3 linked regions of the Schizosaccharomyces pombe genome follow. The protein of the gene in region 1 binds, or shares a complex with, the protein of each later gene. Each region holds a gene or a part of one and is shown on either strand. Other genes may lie near its edges.

The links.
Region 2: spf1 (region 1) and shg1 share a complex: the UniProt entries of both Schizosaccharomyces pombe proteins name them as parts of the set1 complex.
Region 3: spf1 (region 1) and swd2 share a complex: the UniProt entries of both Schizosaccharomyces pombe proteins name them as parts of the set1 complex.

Annotation. Positions count from the first base shown.
Region 1 is NC_003421.2:362,742-368,739, forward strand, and holds spf1 (Set1C PHD finger subunit Spf1), read right to left. Parts: upstream 2,742-5,998; 5' UTR 2,738-2,741; coding exon 1,463-2,737; 3' UTR 1,019-1,462; downstream 1-1,018. Other genes in the region: SPOM_SPCC594.04C (steroid oxidoreductase superfamily protein), read right to left, coding at 1-992; vsl1 (SNARE protein Vam7), read right to left, coding at 3,187-4,176, 4,213-4,248; bouquet formation protein Bqt3, read right to left, coding at 5,438-5,998. UniProt on the Schizosaccharomyces pombe protein: The Set1 complex specifically methylates 'Lys-4' of histone H3.
Region 2 is NC_003424.3:2,355,116-2,360,465, reverse strand, and holds shg1 (Set1C complex subunit Shg1), read right to left. Parts: upstream 3,148-5,350; 5' UTR 3,106-3,147; coding exon 2,998-3,105; exon of another isoform or gene 2,891-2,997; coding exon 2,769-2,890; exon of another isoform or gene 2,704-2,768; coding exon 2,535-2,703; 3' UTR 2,078-2,534; downstream 1-2,077. Other genes in the region: mannosyltransferase Imt3, read left to right, coding at 1-23; mitotic spindle checkpoint ubiquitin ligase Dma1, read left to right, coding at 1,093-1,896; gdt2 (GDT1-like protein), read left to right, coding at 3,984-4,040, 4,312-5,118. UniProt on the Schizosaccharomyces pombe protein: The Set1 complex specifically methylates 'Lys-4' of histone H3.
Region 3 is NC_003423.3:1,780,478-1,785,555, forward strand, and holds swd2 (Set1C complex subunit Swd2.1), read right to left. Parts: upstream 2,743-5,078; 5' UTR 2,680-2,742; coding exon 2,504-2,679; intron 2,444-2,503; coding exon 2,179-2,443; intron 2,131-2,178; coding exon 1,498-2,130; 3' UTR 1,468-1,497; downstream 1-1,467. Other genes in the region: SPOM_SPBC18H10.05 (WD repeat-containing protein), read left to right, coding at 1-1,297; wbp4 (WW domain-binding protein 4), read left to right, coding at 2,782-2,835, 2,909-3,529; ubiquitin hydrolase Ubp4, read right to left, coding at 3,742-5,078. UniProt on the Schizosaccharomyces pombe protein: The Set1 complex specifically methylates 'Lys-4' of histone H3.

The sequences.
Region 1 (5,998 bases):
TGACTACCATCTAATCGAGGAAAAAAGCGGCCGACTTTATCTTGATACACTCGATATAACGGATATTTTTCACAGGACATCTTTTCGGTAAGTCTGGTCGAGCCTTGAAAAACGCCCACTAGTCCAAGCCATGCAAAAATCGTCCAATTCAATAGTGATTCTGAAGCGATCGCTCCAAATAGATAAAATGAAAGCCAAATAAGTTGTTCTGCTAAAAAGTTGGGATGGCGACTCCATCGGAAGAGCCCTGTAGCATTGAAACCACGTCCAAGCGACAACAAGTCATACTTAAACCGAGGTGGCACGGTTTTGTCGACATTGTAATGATTTCGCGCTTCATAGTAATCCCATTGCTGTTGGTCGGCTAGCATTTCTAGCACAAACATAAACATGAAAAGCTCGAGTGCTATCCAATCCCATGCTCCAAATGCTCGTTCGTTTCCAGCCAACATGGCAATATACGTGGGAGATGCAAGCAAATATAGGTGGAGCACTTGAAAGATATGAATGTAAAAATAGTGGAATAATGGATATATCCATTTAGGCATGATTTGGCGAACTCTCACCCAACGATAGTCCTCTGCTCCTCGATTATAACCTCCTTTACGGTAATAATTGTAAGTAAGACGCGCGGACCATAGAGTCTGCAAAAATGCCATAATCATTAATCTTCGCGAAGCAATGTTGTATCCCAAACCATAAAACAGAAAATGCAAGGAAAAAGCCGTTGGCAGAATTGGCCATAGCCGATCCACTTGCGATGTATTTTTCGTCCAAACAGACACTCCCCAAAGCACATTTCCCAAAATAAATGAGAGAAGTAGTCCTACAACAAATGGATTCGTATTATAATAAAAATCTGCAAAATTCAACTTTCCAGTAAACAGTAACTTCAAATTGCTCAGTTGATACAGGTAAGGAGATACTGCAACTTTCCATTTTGCGGCATCAGATGCCGAATAAATAATTGGCATGGTGGATGCCAAAGTCATAGTGCTCGTTTGAAAAAGAACAATGGGAATGTCAGAAAGTTGGCTTTCTATAGCTCCACGAAATCCTCTGTCTCATTGTGACGTTAGCTTCTGGAATAAGAAGGATTAGTGAAATCCAAGGAGCCTGCGTTTTCCAAAAAATAAAATAAAATAAATTTCAAAACAAAAGAGAGAGAAAACCTCAAGGCCATTAAGACATGAGTTGATAAAAAGAGAGGGTGTAGAATGTATGTCCTTATGTTAAAAAGTGACTTTTTAGAAGGAAAAACCAAATTACCATCTGTCAACATTATTTTGCGAAACAGGGAGTCAATAAATTTAAAGCCAAAATTAAGAGACAAATGCCAAGCAATATAAACTTTTCTTTCATTAACATTTGCGAATCAATGCCTCGTGATTTACATGAAATGATCTAGAAATTAAAGCAAACTTCAAAATTGTAAATTAAACCAAAAGATGCATCCTTCTGTTTATTTTAATAAATTAGCCATTTTTTCGGGAGATAACTGTTCATGACAAAATCGAGCATAACCGTCGTATTGTATCCCGGGTAGGCACCTCTGTTTTTGATGCTCCAACATTACATCTTTGGCAGTTTGCTTCATGTTTAGTTTTTGTAAAATATTACTTTCTTGCAACTCAAAATCTTCGGTAAAAATTACCTGCCAGCTTGTGTGCTTTGCACATCTTCGCTTCTCTGTAAAGCAGGTGGACTCAGGAGAAGGATCTATACTCATGTCAAGAGATAGCGGTGCTCCATTTGAAACTTTTTCCCACAATTCATTCATTTGTTGTTGATTGAATAAAAGTCGAGAATCGAATCCACACAGATCTTTCTTAATACCTTCTCTTTCTTTGTAAGCAAGAACCGCTCTCCGCGAAGAATCTTTGATCAACTGAAGAAATATTTTTTTGTTAGATGCTACTTCTTTCTCTTTATTTAATTGCACAATTTCTGCGTTCAGCCTATTGGCCTCCTCAATTTCAAAATTGTACACAACTTCAGGAGGAACTTGGCTTGGCAATGTCGGTCCCACCGTACCCAAATTTTGAAATTCTTCCCTTTTTTTTGCAAACAATACAAGATTTTTTATAGCAGAAGGTTCAACCGTACTCAGCTTTACTTTTTCTCGAAAAAAATCGACTCCATGTTTATCACTACAATAGTTGGAATTAGGTCTTGTGGGATTCGAGCATTCTCGTAACCGGCATTTTCTTTTCCAAGTAGTTATACCCTTTCCTTCTTCTGTGCATTTAGGACAAAAGTACTGTACAGTTAAATCATTATAAGATTCAGGTATATTAACGCAAGTGCCATGAAACCAATCTTCGCAACCATCACATCCTAACATCCATGATCCATCATCAGGCTTTTGGCATATACAATACAATGGTCTTTGATGATCGGCTGTAGACAGATTGAGTTGGCTATTCGCATTTCCTCGGTGTTTTCGTGGACCCCTTCTATGAGCTGATACGGGTGGTTTTTTGGGTATTGTAGGCTGTTGAATGACTTGCATTTCTATGTCTGTTTCCGTTGAGGAAGAATCAACGTGACCGTTGACTTCTTCAACCTCCATTTTAACAGATTTATTGAGAATTACGTTGGCGTCTTTCTCTTCCTCATTGTTAGCTGTCTCGATATGAAAATCAGTAATGGTGCCTCTATTCGAATCCTCAAATTTTACAATTGATTCTACATGAGTTTTTTCATTTTCCTCAGTATTCTCTTGCGTTAATTCCATTATTGGAATTTCAGTTGTCTAAGTCTGTCAATAAGTAAAATCTAAAGAAAGCGAGCTTAAGCACAGTACACTAAATGCATTAAAAGGAACTACAAGCCAAACCAAAATACAAAAGAAATGGGGTCTGTCAAAACAAGTTGAAATTTAAACAAGTCGTATATTAATATCAAGCTTAATTAAAGGAGACAATTATTTCAACCTTGACGGACGAACTAACCATGCCTATATAACTCACAGAGGTTACTGCGGTATCTTCAAGAAGATTAAACAAAAAAAAAAAAAAAGGAAAGAACGCAAATACACCAAATAATAAATATTTTTAGCCCAGATAATCTCATCCAAGACAATCACTAATGTAGCAGAATTGGATAGAAAACAAGACAAAACTGCAAAAGAAGATTCCATTAAATTTCGTGAAATTAAATCAAATACTCATAAACACCCAAATATTAACCCAATTTGCGAAGGCCAGCTCGTGTTCTGTGTAGCTTTTTTTGGTTTGCATATGCTTCATTAGAAAGCTCGTCTAACATGGAGTTTTGCTCGACAACTTCTTGATTAATCATTTTCGAAAGCTCCTTCTGCCTTTGAATAATAGGCAATAACGATTCTGCTTGCATATCTTGATCTTCCATAGTTTGATTCTGCATGTTGTACAGTCCTACATTATCAAGCTTTTTTGTTGTCTGTGTCTCTGGCATTCTGTTTTTTCCAAGGACTCTGTTCAAAGAGGTATTAGATTGTTTGTCAGTAGATGCAGATAATGGGCGAAAGGGAGAACTAGGATTAGAAGAGTTTAATTGAGATGAGGCAGAAGGAGGAGCGACTGGGCTGTTTGCATTTTTAACTAACCGTTTAAATGACAAGAATTCAGAACCAAGCTGTTCTAACATATCTTTTCGTCGAAGGATTTCTCCTGGACCAAGAGCATTTGCTAATTCTAATTTGTCTAACGATTCTGAAAGGTTATCCATTAGCGACTTTATTGCATAGACATTCTTTGTTTGAACTCCTATCGTAATGCTTTTTCCACTCATTAAGTCAACTCGGTACATATGTAAATTACGTTTACAATCTTGAAATACTTGAATCCAATCTGTCGGACCCAAAAACTGACCCTGTGTTTCATCTTCCGATTCATCTTTAATATTTAGAAATTTTTTAACCACAGGCATTTTTATCCATGGCGTTTCTGAAAGGCATTGAACGTAAGCTTGTAAAGCAAGTCGTCGAGATTCACGTAACTTTTCATTTGTCACAGTTGAAGAAACCCAAGATTTAGAGGGGAGTTTGCAAAGTCTACTGTTGTAGTCATTTGGCCGAATTTGAGCATCCAAAGCAACGAATTCATTGAACCGACGAAATACAACATGTTTCCCACCATTCGGAAATGCTACTTCAATATGGTAAACCGTCCATCGTGAATATTCATCAGAAGACTAGTTGTAAGTAAAAATTAAAGGAATAAAGCTTACTTGAGACGTTTCTGGTATTTTAATTTTTAGCGCCATACTTGCTATGAACAGGTTGATCAACAATGAGTTCATGAACAACAGACTACTGTATCGGATTTACTGCACTATCGTTATAAAACTGTATAATGTAGAATTTGAGCTTTCAAATAGTATAGGTTCTATTAGTTGAATAAAGATAAATTTCAGTTTCATGATGCTTTAGATCCTTTAAACCTCATGTTTTCCTTGATGCGCGAGATGCCTTTACGATTATCGAATTGGCAGGTATTGAAAGAAAGTTTACCAGTTTGCAATAGATTTAGAAATTAAAATAATGAATTAGGTTAGTATATTATCTTATACCTTTAAACACTTTATAGTCAGATTATTGAGTATTTTTTTTGGCACTCGTGAACGGTGCAACTTACAAGTAATTACAATACCTAAACAGAAGAACGGCAAAATCTTAACGAAGCTTAGTAATAAACAGAAATTGTTTATTTTCTATATTTTCCTACATGGATTGGTTGCAAGCGCGACTTGCCTAAAGTATTAAAAGCACAGAATAAACGCCAGATCGTAACATTATGCAAAAGTGTAAGTATAGGTAGATTCCAAATAACAACAGTACTCTGATATGCATAAAGATTTTTCACTTAAAATACATGTCATGTAAATATAAAGGCCCCACAGATGATATATAATAGTACTAGTGGAACTTAACAACTGTTTTTTCATATCACGAGAGGGAAAAATATACAGCGAAAAGACTTCTCACATTTGCTTAAAGTATAACCATATACTGCTTTTGAACGATCATCCAATTCAAACTATGCGACCCTAATAGATGAGAATAAAGGACGAAACATCCCACAATGGATATCTTTTAAAAGAGTTCGGAATCAATTTGAAACCACAGTCATTAAATTACATATATTCATAGTCAGTTCCACACATGATGTTCAACTCAGAAAGAAGAAATCTGCCTCCTTCATCAGAAATAAATTCCACCGTGAAAACGAAAAATGAAAAAGAGAAGAAAAAGGGCATTAACCTGATGAAAAAAGTTTGACGTTACCTCACTGAAATTATTGAACACGAGTAAAGACATATAGACAAATTTGGAAAATCCCATAACAGATACAATGAATTAAGATAAGCCCATGAGAACTTCCACCAGGAAGTAAACAACCAACTAACTACATTACAAGAAAAAAAATGATGTAAAAGAAACAGAACTCGAACTTTACAGAGACAATGCCCAGCAGATAAAAGTGATAATCCAAATTTGTGACAAGTAAGCACCCACCACTTGGAACATGGCGGACCAATTCATTGAAAACAAAATTGAATAAGGAATAAAGCAATTCCACAGAGTAAGGAAAATCATCAAAAATAATGATTGGGGAATAGGCCTTTCACTAAACACGACTCTTTGAATAACGTAACCAATTGGTACATGGGCAAGATATTGTAACGGGAGCGGAGGGGCAACGAGACTAGTAACAACGTTATGGGAGTTTCCAAGAATAAGACCGTTTAAGAATATCTTTTGTGATATATAATTAAGCACGCTGATCAATACACTCGCCATAATTGTGAATAGGAAAGAGACACTATACTGTGTGTTGACTTGGTTTGAACATTTGATGGGGTTAGCTCTAGAGAAACAGCGCGCCACTAGCAAAGAAATGGCGTCAATTATGAATGCCCAAGCAATTTGACTCAAAGGAGTAAGGTAGTAGGTCGAGAGAAGCACGTATACTGGATATTTCGTAAGTAAAAGCCATCCATAACCTAGGTTGAA
Region 2 (5,350 bases), on another chromosome or scaffold:
AAACTCAAAGTCACAGTCCCTAAAATTACTCGGCATTTGCTACTACAAAGGCTTCATTTGCTTTGAAGTTTTGACCTGTCTATCTTTTCATTTTCATAGAATTATCATAAATCCTTGTATTTCATTTAGTTTCGTTCTAGTTTTCTAATATAGTCTATTAAAAGCAAGTAATTTCACAATTGTCTACCGTGATCGGAAAGGGATATATACCATGAAATGACTCAAGTCCAAATCTATAAAAATAGAAATGCTAAAGATATTTTCGGAACTACTCATTTCAACTTACTTTTTGTTTGATGGATTTTCAGCTAAATTCTAAATTATACTAAAACAATAAATTATTCAACATAAAAACGGTGTTGCTTAAGTCCATCTGTATGGTGAGACAAAGATAGACAAAATACCATCATCGTCATTGTTTATGCGACGCATCTAGTTTTTTATTTGTTTTTATTATTTGTTTTGTTTTATTTAATGCACAATTACTATACCGAAGAAAACATTGTGTTGTACCGTAAGTTGGATACCGAATTAGTCATGCGCCTTTCGAGGCGGCATAGCATTAACTGTATTCGTTTGCAGCACCATTTGACCGTTTACTGTGTGCAATTTACTTGTTCTACTAAATTGGCTTCATAATTTATAACATATTTTTCTGATAACAGCGAAAACTATCATTTTTTCGATTGCTTTTCATTTACAGCTAAATTCTGGTTGATTATTAAAAGTGTTTCTTTTCGGAATTAAAGTGTGCAATTCAGTTAAGAGTTCTGTTTGCTGTCCTTCCTTAGCTTTCAACAGTTTGTTTGTTTTTGAGGCCTTTGTTTTCGTTTTTGTCTCTTGTTGCTTCCAAACTTTAATACATAAACACAACAACCCCATATACTTTCGTATTTTGTTAGCAATAGATTTGAAACTTACCTTATCTTCAATTTACTAGAAGGAAGGCATATTTCTTTGAACTTTTTCTTGGATAACATCAAATTGGTATACGGAAGACAATTTTCAAAAGCTTTTAACATTAATTTATTTGTTTTTTGTAACTTTCTATCCTCCATTCAATTGTTTTAATAAAGCTTTTCTTTCCAAAAAATGACAAAATCTGTTGAGGGATACCTCAAAGAACAGGAACTTGCCGCTGAGACTGATTCTGAAAAGGACGACGATAAAATATCAATTCGTTTAACTAACTTTGTCGGTCCCAATGCACATTCTTTCTCTTTTGATCCGTTAGTTCGCTACTGGAACCGCAAGCAAAATAATCTACCCATTTACATAGGAAGATACACAGAGCGATACAACGGCGGTGATGTTTCTGCTATTGTCTTCCGTTCCAAAGTTGTGAGTAGAAGGCATGCACAAATATTTTATGAAAACAATACTTGGTACATTCAAGATATGGGTTCTAGTTCTGGTACATTTTTGAACCATGTTCGTTTATCACCGCCGTCAAAAACGAGTAAGCCTTATCCCATCTCGAACAACGACATATTACAACTTGGGGCGGATTATAGAGGAGGTCATGAAGTCAACTATCGTTGTGTTCGTGCCCGAGTTGAGCTAAACAACTCTTGGAAAATTAAGCTTAGTCCTTACAACCTTAACGAATTCAAAAGAATGCAAGAACTGGTGTTATGCGGATCTTCTGAATCGGGTCCTCCGGAATGTTGTATATGTCTTATGCCTGTTTTACCTTGTCAAGCATTGTTCGTTGCACCTTGTTCTCACTCTTATCACTATAAATGCATACGCCCAACCCTAAACGAAAGTCACCCATACTTCAGTTGCTTTATATGTAGAAAATATCATGATTTGGAGGCTCCTGTTGAAGAAGGTGACGAAAGTCTAAATGACCTTCTACGAAATGCAACGGTAAAAGACGATGCATCTGAGTAAACTGTTATTTTCAGTATGGTTACTAATTGTCTTTTACGTCCTCAAGTTCTTCCTTTAATGACCATCGTAACATAATGATCATATTATATTTAGTCTTTATGAGCATGGCAGAAGATTATGGGAACACAGGCTCTTTGACATTTGCTGTTGCCTGATGATTGAATTAAACAAGCATGCCTCCCTAACTTTATTTATCAACACTCATAATGATTAAATATTTTATTGATGAGAAAACCAAGTGCTACTTGGTCTCTTTTATTCATTACTGCATTAATATAATTATCCTAAATGGATATATAATCTTAACTTCTGTCGTCCTTCACACCTGATCTCTACATACTCTCACATTTTTTTATTTTTTTTGAAACATTGGCATCACAAATGAATGTACTAATAATCAGCAGTAATAGAGATCCGAATCTGAAAGAATTGTGGTTGTTCTTCTGAGAGTCCATTTATTATCTCCTTCAGCATCATTAAATGTTATAACTTTTAATTCACTTCTTATGCAACCTAATGTGATTGCTGGTAAAATTCCCGAGAGTACAATTCTTAATTGTAATAAGTATGTTCAGTATATGCAATTTAGAAGTAATCAATAACAAAACTTTTTCAAACTTTTAAGTAGCTAATTATCTTCATTTGCGCCCATCCATGGTTTTACTATTCAGCAATTTTTCTTCATCCTCATGCTCTATTTGTTCAATCCCTATTTGTTCAAGAGAATTATAAATAACTTCCCTCAAATCTTGATCAGATAAAACATTGCTTCGGATGTGTTCCATGCTATCTTCATACAATGAAGATCTTATGGGTTAGACTGAGTTTCCAAAAAGAAAAGAAAAAAAACCATTATTAAGTCGTAAGCTTACCTATCTACGGCACCTGCAATTAAAGGAGCAGCCCTAAACTGGTCTTTACTTTTGAGTGTGCGATCTTTCACCATTTCTTCATCAATGATTTTTTTCAGCCGATCTAATAAAGGCCCTGATTCCTGAGGCGATGTTAGTATGGCAAAAGAGTGAGTGACATTGGTATCATTATGATAGTTAAAAAAAATAGTGATAGTTTAATTTTTGAGGAAACTATCGATGACCCTACCTTTTCATTTACTGTTTCTAGAATTTGTTTTCGAAGGCGATCAAAATGTCCTTCTTTTTTAAATTTAGATACAAGTTCATCAACATTAAGTGTTACATCCCTATCCATGCCTTTTGTTTATGAATTGACTACACGGTAAAATAATGTGGTAAAGAAAAGAATTTTCACGAAATGTAAAGATTTGATTACAGATTATTCGGCCATATTTATACTACCTTATTAATAAAACTCGAGTTATTTTACAAGACACATTTAACTTGAATTAATTGATCGTGTCTTGATTGCTCAATGTAAAAGTTCTTGAAGTAATATCTCGCAGAAGGGACTTCGTACAATCACCCTGTAAGAAACACGTACTAACGAGGTTTAACTTAAATGCGATGTTCTGTTGTTAAGGCTTTACTTTGACCGTTTGGCTAGTGAATTTTCTTATGTGTTTATGGTTGAACTTGCGTTATGTAGGTAGTGCAATGTGAGTTTCCCATCTAAAAAATTATCAAACTTCTGTTTGGTTTCGCGTATTACACTTACAATTAAAAGGATTGGCATTGGTTCCTATTGCTACAACAAGTAATACATGAAAGTAAAAAAAAGGCATAAAATTATGAGCATTTGCAAGTCCTAATGCTTGTATTATACCCACTAATGATCAATTAATATACAGTCAAGTGGTAACTATAACAACTTTTCGAAAGATAAGAGTTAAAAACCTGTTTTAAAACAAATTAGAGGTTTTTGGCATATGCCACGTGAAGGCCAGAAAATAAATGAAAATGTTTTACCGATACTAACCAAAGACACAGGCCTATTTTCAAAATGTGGTTGTTTTTCTGAATTCATTTAATTATAACTGCTTTTTTTTGGTGTGCGCACAATACGTCGAAGAATTTGTTAACTACCTTTAAAATTTCAGCTACACCAAACTTTGCATCTACGCTCAACAAACATTGCAATTACTATTTGCATCCCAGTCTTTTAATATTGTCATGAAAAATCCAATAAAATGGGCGATTATAGCGGTTTTGCTGTCAACCGTCGTGGCTGTAAGTTTTTTCCTTGTCCTTTAGAACACGTCTCATTGGTTCTTGTGCAATACAATCGTGATTAGTTTATTGTTGTACAAAGACGAAATAAATTCCGTGCAAATATGCAGGTGATGCAGAATTTACTTTGTCTCAGTAATTTACGATTTTGCTATAATCGTTTTTCTACATTCTTAAATCAATGATATTCACTTTTCCTTTTGGAAGAAGTAATGTTTTGATAGATAATTGAAATCAAAGTTTTTTTGCATTGAATCTAACACTACTTTAGAAAAAAATCGTTGGCGAAGGTATGGCAGACGTGTCAGCTATCAAACATCCAGAGGAAGTGCACCCAACAAACCGTGACTTTCTTAGGAGTTTGATCTTCTCTATATCTATGATTTTTGGTTGTGAAATAGGAGACAAGACTTTCATCGTAGCTGCTCTTTTGGCCTTTGAAAACTCTCGATTAACTGTTTTTGCTGGGTCATACTCAGCTCTATTCATCATGACATTATTAGGAGTACTTCTTGGGCACGCCGCTCCATTACTTTTTCCTAGAAAGTTAACGGACATTCTGGGAGGTGTCCTTTTTGTGATTTTTGGAATTAAAATGCTTATGGAAGCGAAGGAAGTTATGGATTCTAAAGAATCCATGTCTGACGAATTTCAGAACGTCCGCAACGAAATAGCTGCTAATGGCCCCATCGACCAATTGTTGGAGGAAGGGGCAGCACCTTCCCACTACACTGGTCACAGGTCTCGCTCTGGACATACTTTAATGTCGCAATTAAAATCAAAGGGACGGAACGTTATGGCTACCCTGTTTTCTCCTTTATTTATAAAGGCGTTTGCACTTACCTTTGTTAGTGAATGGGGAGATCGCTCCCAAATCGCTACTATTGCAATGGCTGCTAGTGATAATGTTTACGGTGTATTCATGGGGGCTAATGTTGGTCATGCTTGCTGTACAGCTTTGGCAGTTATTTCTGGAAAATATATTTCTACCAAGATAAAGGTTCATAAAGTCATGTTCATTGGAGGAATACTCTTTATTGCATTTGGATTGGTTTATTTTTATCAAGGCTTTTTTTAAAATACAACGTATTACTATGCCGTTAGAAATAATAGATACTATAGAATACAATCTTTTTATAATATGTGTTATTTGTTAACACAACACCTACAGAGCCATTTAGTTATTTCATTTTGTTCCGATACATAAATCACTACATAAAACCAGTAATCATCATGTTCTTAAATAGATGACAATCTGTATTTGTATTTATATATATTTTATTTACATTAAAAAAACCACATATAATAGC
Region 3 (5,078 bases), on another chromosome or scaffold:
TTACGTTTCTCAAGTTATAGGTCCGGCTGATGCTCCAAAGTCAAAAACTATTTTTGGCAAGCGAATTATGCAATGGGAGCCTTCTCAATTTAAAGAATCTGTGTGGGCCTCCGAAATTAGCAAAAGTGGAAAATATCTGGCCACCGCTGGTAAAGATGCAATAATTCGTGTGTGGAAAGTAATTGAAACACCAGAAAGAAGAGAAACTTTACTCAAAGAAGGTCCTCAAAGTTGTGGTCGTTTCTTTACCCCTTCTAGCATTTTTGAACCTGAACCTGTCCTAGAATGTGTAGGTCACAACGCAGAAGTCCTTTCCATTTCATGGAGCAAAAATGATTTTTTATTAACTAGCTCTGCGGATAGAACCGTTAGGCTTTGGCATCCAAAATCAACCAAATCCTTGGCGGTTTTCAGGCACAATGAGATTGTTACATGTGTCGCATTTCACCCGATCGACGATCGTTATTTTGTTTCTGGTTCCCTTGATTGCAAAATTCAGTTATGGTCCATTTTACGCCATAAAATATTGCATTGGACGGAACTTGAATATGTCGTTTCTACTATTTGTTTTTATCCAGACGGTGAGTCGATCGTTGTGGGCATGTTCTACGGATTATGTGCAATATATGAAACTAAAAATTTACAATATGTGTCCTCATGGCTAATTCATCATTCTCCCTCAAGAAATAAAAAATGCCGAGTCACTGGATTACAGTGCGCATCTATCATTCCAAACGATTCAAAATCCGACAACGTTGTTTTAGTATCTACTAATGACAATGCTATCCGGTTATACAACACGGTCACTCACGCTTTAGTGTTGAAACTGAGTGATGCTCATCGTGTTAATGGCAGAGTACTTTCTCGTTTAAGTGAAGACAACAGTTATATCATTAGTGGAAGTGATACTAATGAAGTAGTTTTATGGCATATTCCCAACAAGGTACTCATCAATGCATCAAGAAAACGCTCTGTCATTCTCCATTTGCCCACGGAAACATTCAAGGTTTGTAGTGAGAGACTGACTTCGACCATCATTGCACCAGCAAGGACTGCTGTCGAAGCTAAAGAGTCGGAACATGATCGCAGTTTAATTGCAGAAGGATACAATCTAGTAAAACCTCATAGTCACAGATCATATGGAACACCTCCTGTACATCCGATTGATATAATAATTGCTACCAACATGGCAGGTATGACTATTGTCTTGTGTGTTGATTATGATTTGGGGAATTCCCATCATGGATTTAGAAACTCAAAATTTGGACACTTTGTGAAGCGTTTATTACGAACCTAATCTCGATTCAAAACTAATATTACTTTACCTTTTTTTATTTTGTTTAAGTCTTCTAAGTCATTCAGGTGTCATTTAAAATAGAGGACTCATTTTTTCCCCCTTTTAAATAATAGTTATGAAGTTTTTTTATGAAATTGTTTTTAATAATAGTATAATATAATATTCATTTTTTCGTGGTTTGTTAAGACACAAAAACAATTTTACGTCCAGAAAATTACTCCAGAATGTGCTGTAACTAATTGAGAGAAGCGTGGATTAAAGCGAACAATAGAAGGTGTTTCTGGTAAAAGGTTTTTAGATGTTGAAGAAGGAATGATAGCTAGCGGGTTCTCTGTTGAATGACTATTGCTGGTCGGAGTAGTTGATGCTAGGCCCATTTCGGTGAATGAATTAACAATGTGATCCGAGTTAACAGTTTGTTTCAGTTCTGGTAGTTGATACATGCAAAGATGCTCATTATCATATGAAGTAAAAAGAAATTTACTATCTGGAGACATGCAAGCTGAAGCATAATAAGTCAAATTTCCATCTTGGGTTTTTGTGCTAACCTTTGAAGGAACTCTTAATAATTCACTTCCACTATAAGCGTCTATAACGTAATGAAAATCATTTCCAGTTGTTAGCAATAGATATTTACCATCAGTACTGAATTCCACATTTGCAATGCGGACATGAGGGGGCAGGAATGTTAAAGGAATGTCTTGAAATGGGCGAGCATCAAATGATTTAATGTTATAAAGAGAAATTTTGTATTTTCTTTCACTAACTGAGGCAAAGATTAGTCCTGTAGCATCAAAAGCTGCAACAACGGGTGAACTAACATTGAGCAAACCCTACGTATTCCTAGTTAGTTTGATTATCAGTAATTGTTATACTCATACCTGGCAATTTGGAGACCGAAGGTCCCAAAGGCGAATAGTATTATCTAAAGAAGCGCTTAAAAAAGTTTCATCTGCTGGTGATACATCGATTGAAGTCACTGTTTGCTTATGGCCAGGAAAATATCGAAGATACCGATTTGTCACAACGTCTAAATAACGAACGGTATTGTCTTCCTTTGTGGAAGCATGTATTAATGAATTTGAATGATGAGTAAACCGACCTAAATGTGCTCCGTACTTTTTGCTTGCAAGTGATTTCACAAATCTAGAAGTTCATGGTCAGTTAGCCAAACAGGTTTCAAAAGTGAATTTAAGAAGTACTTACTTTCCAGAAATGCAGTTATACAGTTGTAAAGTATCATCAGTACACGACGCCAAGCACAACTCTCCACTGTCGTCAAAACTGAGAGAGGTAATTTCACCAACAAAATTCTGATTTTTCAGCCATTTTCTTGGTTGCATAGACGACAACAAGTCAAAAGTAATTGAAACTGTTGTCATTACTAAATAACGGTATGCTAAAAGGTGGGTTTCCTGAGAAAAATATATGGGTAAATAAGTTTTAAGTATGTATTTAGTGCGTATCTCCTATTAATATTCAGAATGGCTGATTACTGGAAAAGTATTCCAAAATATTATTGTAAATATTGCCAAATAGTAAGTTTTTTCTATAACATCCAAAAATTATTTCTAAAGTGGTGAAATTAATAGAATCCTACTAACAGTACAGTTCGTGAAAGATACACCATTTGCGCGACGGAGCCATGAGCAAACTTATAAACATCAGGATGCTATTAAAAAAGTAATGGATGATATTCATCGTTCCAACCTTTTAAGGCAGGAACTTGAGAAGAATTTATCTATACCAAAATCAGCTACTGCTACCACTGCTTCAGCGGTGTCATCTGAACTAGCATCGTATGAGAAACCAAAAAAGGAGCATCCAAAATTACGTCCCTCTAAAAAAAAAGCTACTTTGGATGATTGGGATATTCCTACAAGTTCTACGGAGACTGACACCATCTCTACTACTCATACCAGCTATATTCCTACATTGCTAGCAAAGCAAGAAGAAAATGAAGAAACCAAGGAAACAACTACTAATAAAAATGAGTCTCTACCAGGGACCTCTTTGAAAAGAAACAGAGAGATCATCGAAAAAGAAGAAAGATCTTCATTTCATTTTCGGGTAAAACCAAAAAACTTAGATAAAGTACCTAAGTTAGCTGAAAACGAGGGAAACAAATCGCTAGAAAGCAAGGAATCAAATGAAAACAAAGTGGTGTTTAAAAAGAAAAAGTCTGGAAAGTTAAGAACAAAATCTTCCTTAAAAGAATATGATCAATCTTGAAGAAAAAAACCATCTTTGTTTAAAAAAAATTCTAGGATGAAAAAATTTTGTATCCAATTCCTGCATTCTGTTCAACATAACGAGAGTAGCTTTTGTGTTGGGTAATCAGCATTAAGTAAGTATTCATATCGGTTATGAATGCTAAGTTGAACATTTATTCAATAACTATATTTGAGGTTTATTGAAAACATTTTTCCTTTTTTTATTTTGTTTTATTTAACATTTCTTTTCAAAGTCATTTTGGGACACTTATCTTCAAACTCCTCCAACAGACTTGAGCGTTTATAAAAAAGAATGTAGGAAGAGGAGAAATCTTCTCTCAAGTCAGTAATACCGCCCACTGTTCGAACAATTGAGTCATCAATATGGCACCATTCATTATTAAAAAGTACATCAGATATATAATGTCCATTTTCGAGCTGGCCATAATGACAGATAAATGCAAACAGGTTATAATTGCTAGGAATATAACCAATTCCCGATTGGAAACTCGGTGGTACCAGCATTTTACTTGGAATCTGTAAGCTCAATCCAAGTGGTGTATCAATTTTTTTACGACCCATTACGGATATTTTAAATCTCTGAATTTGTATGATCAAATATTCAGGTAGTTTCGAAATCATAATTACTTTTTTTGCCGACCTTTGAACCTTGCACACGGGACAATGCCATCCATCATGCCCTTGCAAGAGTTCAGGAGCTGAAAATTTTAATAAGCATTCTTGTAGGCTTACTACATGGGAGACATCGTCAATCGGTATCGCAAGCGATGTGAAGGGAGCAAAAGTAGTAGATGTGCGGCCACATGTCATACATTGAGTACGACTGCAAAGTTGACCTACAAAATTGTTGACCACAATACTCTTGTTAGACCGGAGATGCAAGTTCCATTCAATGTGTGAAAAGTGGGACAATGGGAGTTCTTCTCTGGCACTTAATTGATCTTCCGTCAACGGTGCTATCGGAGACCGAGATGCATTGGAGTTCAAATCTTCATGAAGTTTATCAAGAAAGAAATTTAAAAATTCTTGAGCATCGCATTGGCCATCGATGGAGAAATCTCTATTCAATGACTGTACAATTTCTAAAAAATTCCTTGGAGATATTGATCTCTGACCATGGTTTAATAAGACACTTTGAAGCAAGGAAAAGAAAGCAGATGTGATTTTTCCACCGGTACCCAATGGATTTTTGGTATTGATATTTTGAAGCAATCCTCTCCCCTGTAACATAGGAATAGTCAAGTCCTTACACGCAAAAAGACATTGCAGGACACAATTCATGTAACAAGTATTACCCAAATTCGTTAAACCTATAGGCTGATAATTTTCATACGATAAAGAACTATCAACTTTCTTAGGGTTCGCCAATTCCATGAAATGAGGATCCAACTTCAACGAACGTAACATCGAGTAAAGCTTGTAAGCCAAAGAAACGTCTTCGAAGTATCTTTCCAAACTGTAACAAATAACCATGCTTGGATGAAAAGGTGCGGATTTTAAAAAGTCATATATTTTTGAAGAATCCATCGATTGCAAACAGGATATTG